Oryctolagus cuniculus: one gene and its partner. The protein of the gene in region 1 interacts with the protein of each later gene in a pairwise test. Links are inferred from orthologs where the notes say so. Each region holds a gene or a part of one and is shown on either strand. Other genes may lie near its edges. The genes, in order: PADI4 and ANXA4.

What was found.
Region 2: the proteins of PADI4 (region 1) and ANXA4 interact in binary tests that used the Homo sapiens proteins (3 or more experiments, as listed by UniProt). The two-hybrid records come from large-scale screens. The link is inferred for Oryctolagus cuniculus from reciprocal best matches to the Homo sapiens genes PADI4 and ANXA4.

The regions. Positions count from the first base shown.
Region 1 is NC_091438.1:152,880,326-152,883,715, forward strand, and holds the end of PADI4 (protein-arginine deiminase type-4), read right to left. Parts: intron 3,301-3,390; coding exon 3,160-3,300; intron 1,813-3,159; coding exon 1,579-1,812; 3' UTR 626-1,578; downstream 1-625. UniProt on the Homo sapiens protein: Catalyzes the citrullination/deimination of arginine residues of proteins such as histones, thereby playing a key role in histone code and regulation of stem cell maintenance.
Region 2 is NC_091433.1:132,953,672-132,958,238, forward strand, and holds the start of ANXA4 (annexin A4), read right to left. Parts: upstream 3,055-4,567; 5' UTR 2,946-3,054; intron 1-2,945. UniProt on the Homo sapiens protein: Calcium/phospholipid-binding protein which promotes membrane fusion and is involved in exocytosis.

The DNA of each region.
Region 1 (3,390 bases):
ATTTTGAGTGTTTTCTTGGCAACTCAGAAAGCTTCAGGTGTTGCAATACCTGCAGTTTTGGGACTTTCTGGTGGGTGGAGTTCAACAAACACACAGCAGCCTGTGGCCCCCCGCGGGCGCCAGGCCCTGCTTTGGGGGGCTCACGGCGCGGGGGCTCACAGAGCTGGGGCTCACGAAGCCAGGGCTCATGGACCAGACAAGGCCCATTTTGGGATGCTTTCTGCTGGCAGAGTGGAGCCCATAGGGAGCGGGGCAGAGAATGTCTGACGTCGACCCCTCCGTGCCCTGGCGCTGGCCGTGGGCTGTGCTTTTCTCAAAGGAGCTCCTGACTGGGAGAAGGTTCCCAGGCCGCATCTCTGGCCTCAGGGCTTTGCCACCGCCGCCTCCCGCCCCACCAGGTACGCTGAGCGACCTGAGGCCCAGGCACCTGCCCACCAGTCGGCTGCCTGTGTTTTATCTTTATTCTGACAAATACAGAACAGTGCATCGTGCTGACACAGCCACATTAACGCGGGCGAAGCCTCGGTGGGGCTGTCAGGGAAAGGATTTCAAAGACGGGTTCTGGGCCCCTCTTCCCTTCTTGAGTTTCTGTAGGGAGCTCAGAACCAACCAGGACCACGTTCGATATTTTTAAAATATTTTATTTATTTATTTCAAAGGCACAATTACATACAGTGAAAGACAGAGACAGGGAGAGGTCTTCCATCCGCTGGTTCACTCCCCAGATGGCCACAATGGCTGGAGCTGCACCGATCCGAAGCCAGGAGCCAGGAGCTTCTTCCGGGTCTCCCATGCGGGCGCAGGGGCCCAAGGACTTGGGCCATCTTCTACTGTTTCCCCAGGCCACAGCAGAGAGCTGGATCGGAAGTGGAGCAGCTGGGTCTCAAACCGCTGTCCATATGGGATGCTGGTGCCACAGGCAGAGGCTTAACCTAGTACACCACAGTGCTAGACCCCCTTATGCAAGATTTAAAAAAATATATTTTAAAAATGTTATTTGAGAGAAAGAAGATGCACCCATCTGCTGGCTTATGCCCTAAATGCAACAGCACTGAACCCAGCTGGGGCTGAAACCAGGAGCCGGGAGCTCCATCCGGGTCTCCCACGTGGGTAGCTTCAGCCGTCACCAGCGCCTCCCAGGGGCTGCAGGCAGGACGTGGACCAGCAGCGGAGCCCACGTACTCTGATGTAGGACTCAGCCACCTTCACTGCTAGGTCCAATGCCAGCCCCTCACGAGAGACTCTATCCACCGGCGCTAGGCCTGGGAGCGAAAGGCACACTCGGTAACGCTGGCTCCGAGACCCTGGCAATTCTGCGGTGCCAAGCGAGCTCGTGGTGAGTGACAGGAGCGACGGGTGGCCGTGGCGCACACAGGGACGGACAGCTTCCCTGCAGCTCCTCCAAGCACAGCTGAGTCTGCGACGCGGGGACCCTCGTGGGAACCTGGGGGGGGGGGCTCGGGGCTGGAGCCAGGAGAAGGGAAGTGAGCCGCCCCGGGGGGCTCCAGCTGCGCCACGCCACAGGGCGCCGGCCACCTCGGGCGGCAGGGGCAGGAGGGCGCCTGGCGAGCCCCGCGTTCAGGGCTCCATGCGCCACCACTTGAAGGCGAAGGGCTTCCGGCGCACGTTGGTGCCGCAGTGCACCTCGCCGTGCCGGACGTGGTAGGAGTAGAAGTCGTCGATGAAGGTGCAGCGCAGGCCCAGCGGCTCCAGCAGGGACCGCACCTTCTCCTCCAGGCAGCAGCGGCCGTTGATGATGGGGCCGAAGGGCTTGGGGATGCCCAGGTGCTTGCCCAGCACCAGCAGGTTCACCTGCGGCGGGAGGGAGGCCGCAGCCTGGGGTGTGGTCCGCGCATCCCCCCCCCCCCCCGACCTGTGTGGATGGGGAAACTGAGTCTTGCATGGGAAAAGGGCCAGCCCGCTGTTCTAGGACTGGTGCCAAGTCTCTCCCCCGCTGACCACCTTCTGGTCAAGCCCAACTCAGATGCCAGCCCCGCTGCGAAGCTGCCATGCATCCCCAAACTCTGGTTTCCATGGCAACAGTAAACAAGAGCCGGCGTGCCCAGGGACACAGTCAGTGCAGGGTCGCCCTCCCGAGTCCTTAGGGCGTCTCGTTCTCCGTGGCGGCTCGGCCCGAGCTGAGAGGCTCCCGTGGTTCACTCCCCTGCCTGTTCCACGACCACCGGGGAGCCAGCGGGTCTTGGCTCAGGCTCCCTGCAGGGGCCTCGCCGGCGGCTCAGAGCCAGCCCTCGGCCTGGCCCGTGGGTCATTCCAGGAGCCCTCCCCTAGCCGTCAGCACCCACTTCCGTTCCTGCACCAGAAGCCTGGCTCGGCCAAACCAGAGGGGACCGAGATGCCTGGGGCCAAGGGAGTTCAAAGGGTGGGGGAGGGGCTCTCCTCTTCTTTTAGCCCAGGGACCCTTTATTTACTTATTTATTTATTTGTTTGTTTTATTTCGGCCGAAAGCATTTATTAGACTGAAGGTTTCCTAAGACCTCTTGGAAAACCCGGTAATGTTTGCACAAATCATACACGTGGATAGATCCGTGCTGCAGGTGATACGCGGCCGGCGCTAGGCTCAGCCCGGGCAGGAGAGGGCCATGGGACCCCCATCCTATACAGGACCCTCTGCAGGGCTTCCATGCATGGAACACAGACAACCTGAGCCCCGGATTTGAGGCACCGCCTAGGCACCCCGGAGCCCTGGGGAACCCAGTCTGCAAACTGCCACATTAGGGGCTGCTGGCTGGTCTGGGGCTGCAAGCCCAGCGCTGGGGGAGGCGGCGGCCGAAGGGCCCTCGGGTGTTCTCAGAGGAGACGGGAGAGGGATGGGGGCTGTGACCGGGCTGGGCACTGGGGGTGGGGGGGTGTGACCCTCACATCTGTGCTCCTGCAGCTGGGGTCCCACCCAGCCGGGGAAGGGGTGGTACCACCTTCTCCTTGCAGAGGTCCCCCGGGGCCGCCCAGCCGAGGGCCCCACGTGCATGCCCTTCCTCGCACCTGTCGCGGCCAAGGGCGACTCTAGCCCTTCACGAGTGGCAGCCACCCCGGCCCGGAAGCTCTGAACCCTGTCCCCGCCGGTCCAGGGTTCTTGTGCCGGAACCACCCCTGAGCAGTGCGTGACCGGGAGACCCCCGGCGTCTAGGGCGCCCCCCTCACCATGTTGGGGAAGAAGGCGGCGGCCTTGAGGCGCTCCCTGCTGCCCCCCACGAGCCTGAAGAGCTGCGGGATGTCCACGATGTCGCCCTCGGCCAGGCCCAGCTCCCGCCTCAGCACCTCGCGGTTCCAGTCGATGCACTTCTGGGGGCGGGAGGGGCGGTGGGTAGGGGGCTGCAGGGGGGCGGGGGGCGAGGCCCTGGGCCGAGGGTGGTCGAGGGCCGGGGTCAGGAA
Region 2 (4,567 bases), on another chromosome or scaffold:
CTGGGCCATCCTCCACTGCACTCCCTGGCCACAGCAGAGGGCTGGCTTGGAAGAGGGACAACCGGGACAGAATCCGGCGCCCCGACCGGGACTAGAACCCGGTGTGCCGGCGCCGCTAGGCGGAGGATTAGCCTAGTGAGCCGCGGCGCCGGCCGAAGTCTAAACAATTTTTAAAAATATCTTTATTAAGAATATAGCATAAAATTTGCCATTTTAACTGATTTTAAGTATATGACTCAGTGGCATCAATTAGATTCTTAATAGCTATCACCATTATTTCCAAAATTTTTCATCACCTTAAATAGAAAACTCTGTCCTCATTAGTTAGATCTCCTTTCCTACCTACCCCTCGCTACTGGTTAACCTCTGATCTACTTTCTGTCTTTATGAATTTTCCTATTCTAGGTATTTTATGTGAGTAGAGTCATTTAATACTTGTTCTTTTGTGTCTGGCTTACTTCACTCAGCCCGGTGTTCCTAAGATCCATCCATGTTGCAGCACGTGTCAGAATCTTATTATTTTTCATGGCTGAGTAATATTCTATTGAGTAATATTCTATTGCACATACACACCATATTTTGATTACACATTCATCCACCGACGACAGCTGGGTTGTTTCGATTTTTGGACTATCCTGAATAATTCCATGAATGCTGGCATGCCAGGCTGTGTTGGAGTCTATTTCTTAATTCTTTGAGTTTATTGCCTAAAAGCACTCTTTCATATCACTGCTACTTCCAGTAGACCATAGTCCCTTAGGGCTCATCTCATTCATTTTTACATCCCTAAGCTGAGTACAAGCCAAACACATACACCATAGCACTGGGTGTGGGTCTGGTAAACAAGCGAATAATGATAATCATATTGTACATCTGTGAATCCCTCTGCAGCTTAGAAAGCATTGATCCATTTTTATTTGAGCTTCATAATGATCGTGAGGTAGGTAGGCAGGTCTGAGCTCTTATTTCTGGGAGTCTGCCAAGGGTCAAGCAACCAGTGCCAGATTCGTTGAGATTCAAATGCATATCCTCCTCTTTCTGACCCAATCTGATTCTCAACCTGTCTTGCTATCTTGCCTGTTATTTCTGACAATCACTGGTGAGAATACCCATTCTTACTAAAAACTGCTTACAGGACTGCAAATAAAGATTTTCCTGTAGAAGAGCTGGAGGAGACTGGAGGGGGTCTTGATTTGTCCTCATGCCTAGTGAAGCAGTTCTTCCTTGGAATTACACGATAAGAGTAATATTTTATTTTTGTATTATTTATTTATTCAAGAGGCAGAGAGAATGAGAGATGGACAGAGCTTCTAGCTGCTGGTTCACTCCAAAAATTCTGGCAAGGGTTGGGGCTGGGAACTCAATCCACGTCTCCCATGTGGGTGGCTGTGACTCATTACTTGAACCATCAGCTGCTGCCTCCCAGGGCCTATACTGGAAGCTGGAATCGGGAGCCGGAGCCAGGCATCAAGCCCATGCACTCTTATACAGGATGCCTATATATATATATATGTGTGTGTGTGTGTGTGTGTGTGTGTGTGTCTTAACCACATCTTTCAGAGTAATCTGTTAGCATCAGCAACTTGATGGCATTCATGTTCTGTGGGAAAACCTGAGGCAGTTTTGTGTGTCTCAAGCGTTCACACACACACACACACACAGCACCACAAAACCCTAACAGGTCTACTGCAGATTCTAGCCCTTGACTTCCAAACTCCCATCTGAACAGGGACTAGGGAACTAACTTGAATGAGCCAGCTGGCCGGGTACAAGGTGAAAAACAGCAGCTGGCACTTGGCTGGGACAGGGGGAATTGATACGTGTTTCCGCTGTGGCAGCCTGGAGAGCACACACTAGGTCCATAGAGGGCAGCTGGCACACAGATCCAGGTTGGCCGTGCCTTTCAACTTTCTTAAGAGAAGTAGAAATGAGCATATTTTGTGTGAATTTTAAGTATTTTTAATACTGGGAATGACCTCCAATTAAAAAAATCAGTAGCACCAAACTTGGTGTGAATCAGAGAAACATGGATGTTACCCTCTGGGGCGGGGAGCTCAGCTCTTCCCTGGTGTTCCTCCTGGCTCCCCTGCCAAATCCCTGGGTTCTCCAGCCACAGCAAGCACCCCTGCACCTCCAGGGCAGTGGTTCTCCACCTGCCTGCGCAGGAGAATCACTGGGGAGTGGGGAGAAACAAAAGTGCTATCCTGGCCCTGCTCCTGGTCATTCCTTAGGGCTCCCCAGGTGCAAACAGATTGAGAGCTCTCAATGCCAACTGGACTTCCTGCCTCCAGTGGTCAACTGTCCTCTGGTCAATTGTCCACAATGCAGCAAGAATATTTTAGAGGCTGGCGTTGTGATGCAGTAGGTTAAGTTCAAGTCCCAGCTGCTCCACTTCCGATCCAGCTTCTTGCCAATGCTCCTGGGAAAGCAGCAGATGATGGCCCAAATGCTTAGGCCCCTGCCACCCACATGGGGAGACCCAGATGGCATTCCAGGTTTCTGGCTTCAACCTGGCCTAGCCCTGGCCGGTGCAGCCATATGGGGAGTAAACCATCAGATGGAAGATTTCTTTCTTCTAACTCTTCCAAATAAAGACTTATTTATTCGAAAGATAGAGTTACAGGGATGCTGAATGCTTTAAAAACCTGCTCAGCCCTCCTGTGGCTGCTGTCTGTGGTCTTGATAAATGGCTCTGCATGTGCCCAAGATCTCATGCCCTCCCAGCCTCCTCCCCGTCCACGGCCACCCCTGCTCCTTGTCCCCAGTGCCCTTGGCTTCAGCTGCCCTGACCGCCTTGAAGTTTCACGGACACACTGGACCCTTGAGCGCGTGAACCTTCAGCTGTGTACAGTTGGAGAAGCCTGCGTGACACCCGTCACCAGGGCACTGCTACAGCGAGGGCGAGGGATCTGGGGCCGCTGCAGTGGCGCGGGGAGGTGACTCACATTGGTTCTGTCCTCAGAAAGATGGAAAGTCCCTTGAAAGCAGGGAGTACAATTCTGGCTCAACCCCGCTTGCCAACAGCCAAGTCCCGCGGACAGGAAGTCAGTCCCGAACTGAGCGGAAATGACGCTCTCCGGAAATGTTCTCCCCACCACTCAGCTGCTGGGGGAGGGAGCGCTGCCCAAACCGGAAGGAGCGTGGCAGGGTAACAGTGCGGAGCCTCTGTTTACCTGCCCACCTGCACCACCGCTTAGGAGGCCTGGCCCATGGGAACTGCAGTGGCGATCAAGCTTATTGCCCACTGTAAAGATGGGCAATTGACTAGACCTTTAAGAACTAGAAACTGTGAGCGGGAAAGTGCAGATGGGGACCGGCAGGGGAGCCCTACAATGGAGCATCCTGAAGGAATGGATATGTAGCGGCCCACGACGGGGAGGAGAGGAGGAGATTCCAGGCGGAGGAAGCAGCAGACGCAGAACTCTGGAGCCGAAGGCAAGTGCGGCAGGGTCAGTGCAGGTAATTTCCACACGTCTGAGCCGGAGTGACACTCTGACCCCCTCAAGCTCTGATGAAGCAGTTCCCAAACACAGCGCGTACAGTATCAGAAAGAGAAAGCTCCCCTCTGGTGAATTATGTCCCTAGTCTCAAGAATCTCTGAAGAGGTGTAGGTGGTTTGGCACACTAAAAAAATAGACACTGCCAGGGGCCGGCGCTGTGGTGTAGCGGGTAAAGCCGCCGCCTGCAGTGCTGGCATCCCATATGGGCGCCTGTAGGAGACCCAGCTGCTCCACTTCTGATTCAGCTCTCTGCTATGGCCTGGGAGGGCAGTAGAAGATGGCCCAAGTCCTTGGGCCCCCGCACCCACGAGACCCGGAAGAAGCTCCTGGCTTCAACTTAGCTCATTTCTGGCTGTTGCCACCATTTGGGGAGTGAACCAATGGATGGAAGACTTATTTCTCTCTCTCTCTCTCTCTCTCTCTCTCTCTGCCTTTCTGTAACTCTGCCTTTCAAATAAAAATAAATAGCTCTTTAAAAAAAAAAAAAGACACTGCCTTTAAAGTAAATCTTTATAAAAAATGACAGAGATTAATCTCCCATCTGCTGGTTCACTCATATGTGCAACACTCAGGGCTGGGCAAGGCCAAAGTTGGGGGCCAGGACCAACATCTTGGACTCCCTTGTGGGTGGTAGTGGCCCAAGTAGTTTGGCCATCTTCCACTGCTTTCCCAGCAGCATTGGCAGGAAGCTAGATCAGAAGTGCAGTAGTCAAGACTCAAACTGGCTCTCAAGATGGGATGTGGATGTCCCAAGGGACAGCTTAACCCGCTACTCCTGCCCCTCTCTCTACTTTTCTAGTAAATACAATTGATAGCTTTGGGATCCACAAGGAGGGAAGGCCTATACTTGAGGGAAGGCCTATACTTCCGGGAATGGAAAGTCCTTGTCAAGGTCCCCCGCGGTGCCTAAAGGTCAACCAATGAGGATCAGGCCCACCTCAACCTTTAACCCCCATGCCCTGAATCTATAAAAGGAGTTCTCCCAATCTCTGACTCGCGACACCCCACCCCCCACCCCGTTGCTCTGTTAGGGCCGTGGAACCTCGCCCAGGAGCAGAATCCCAATA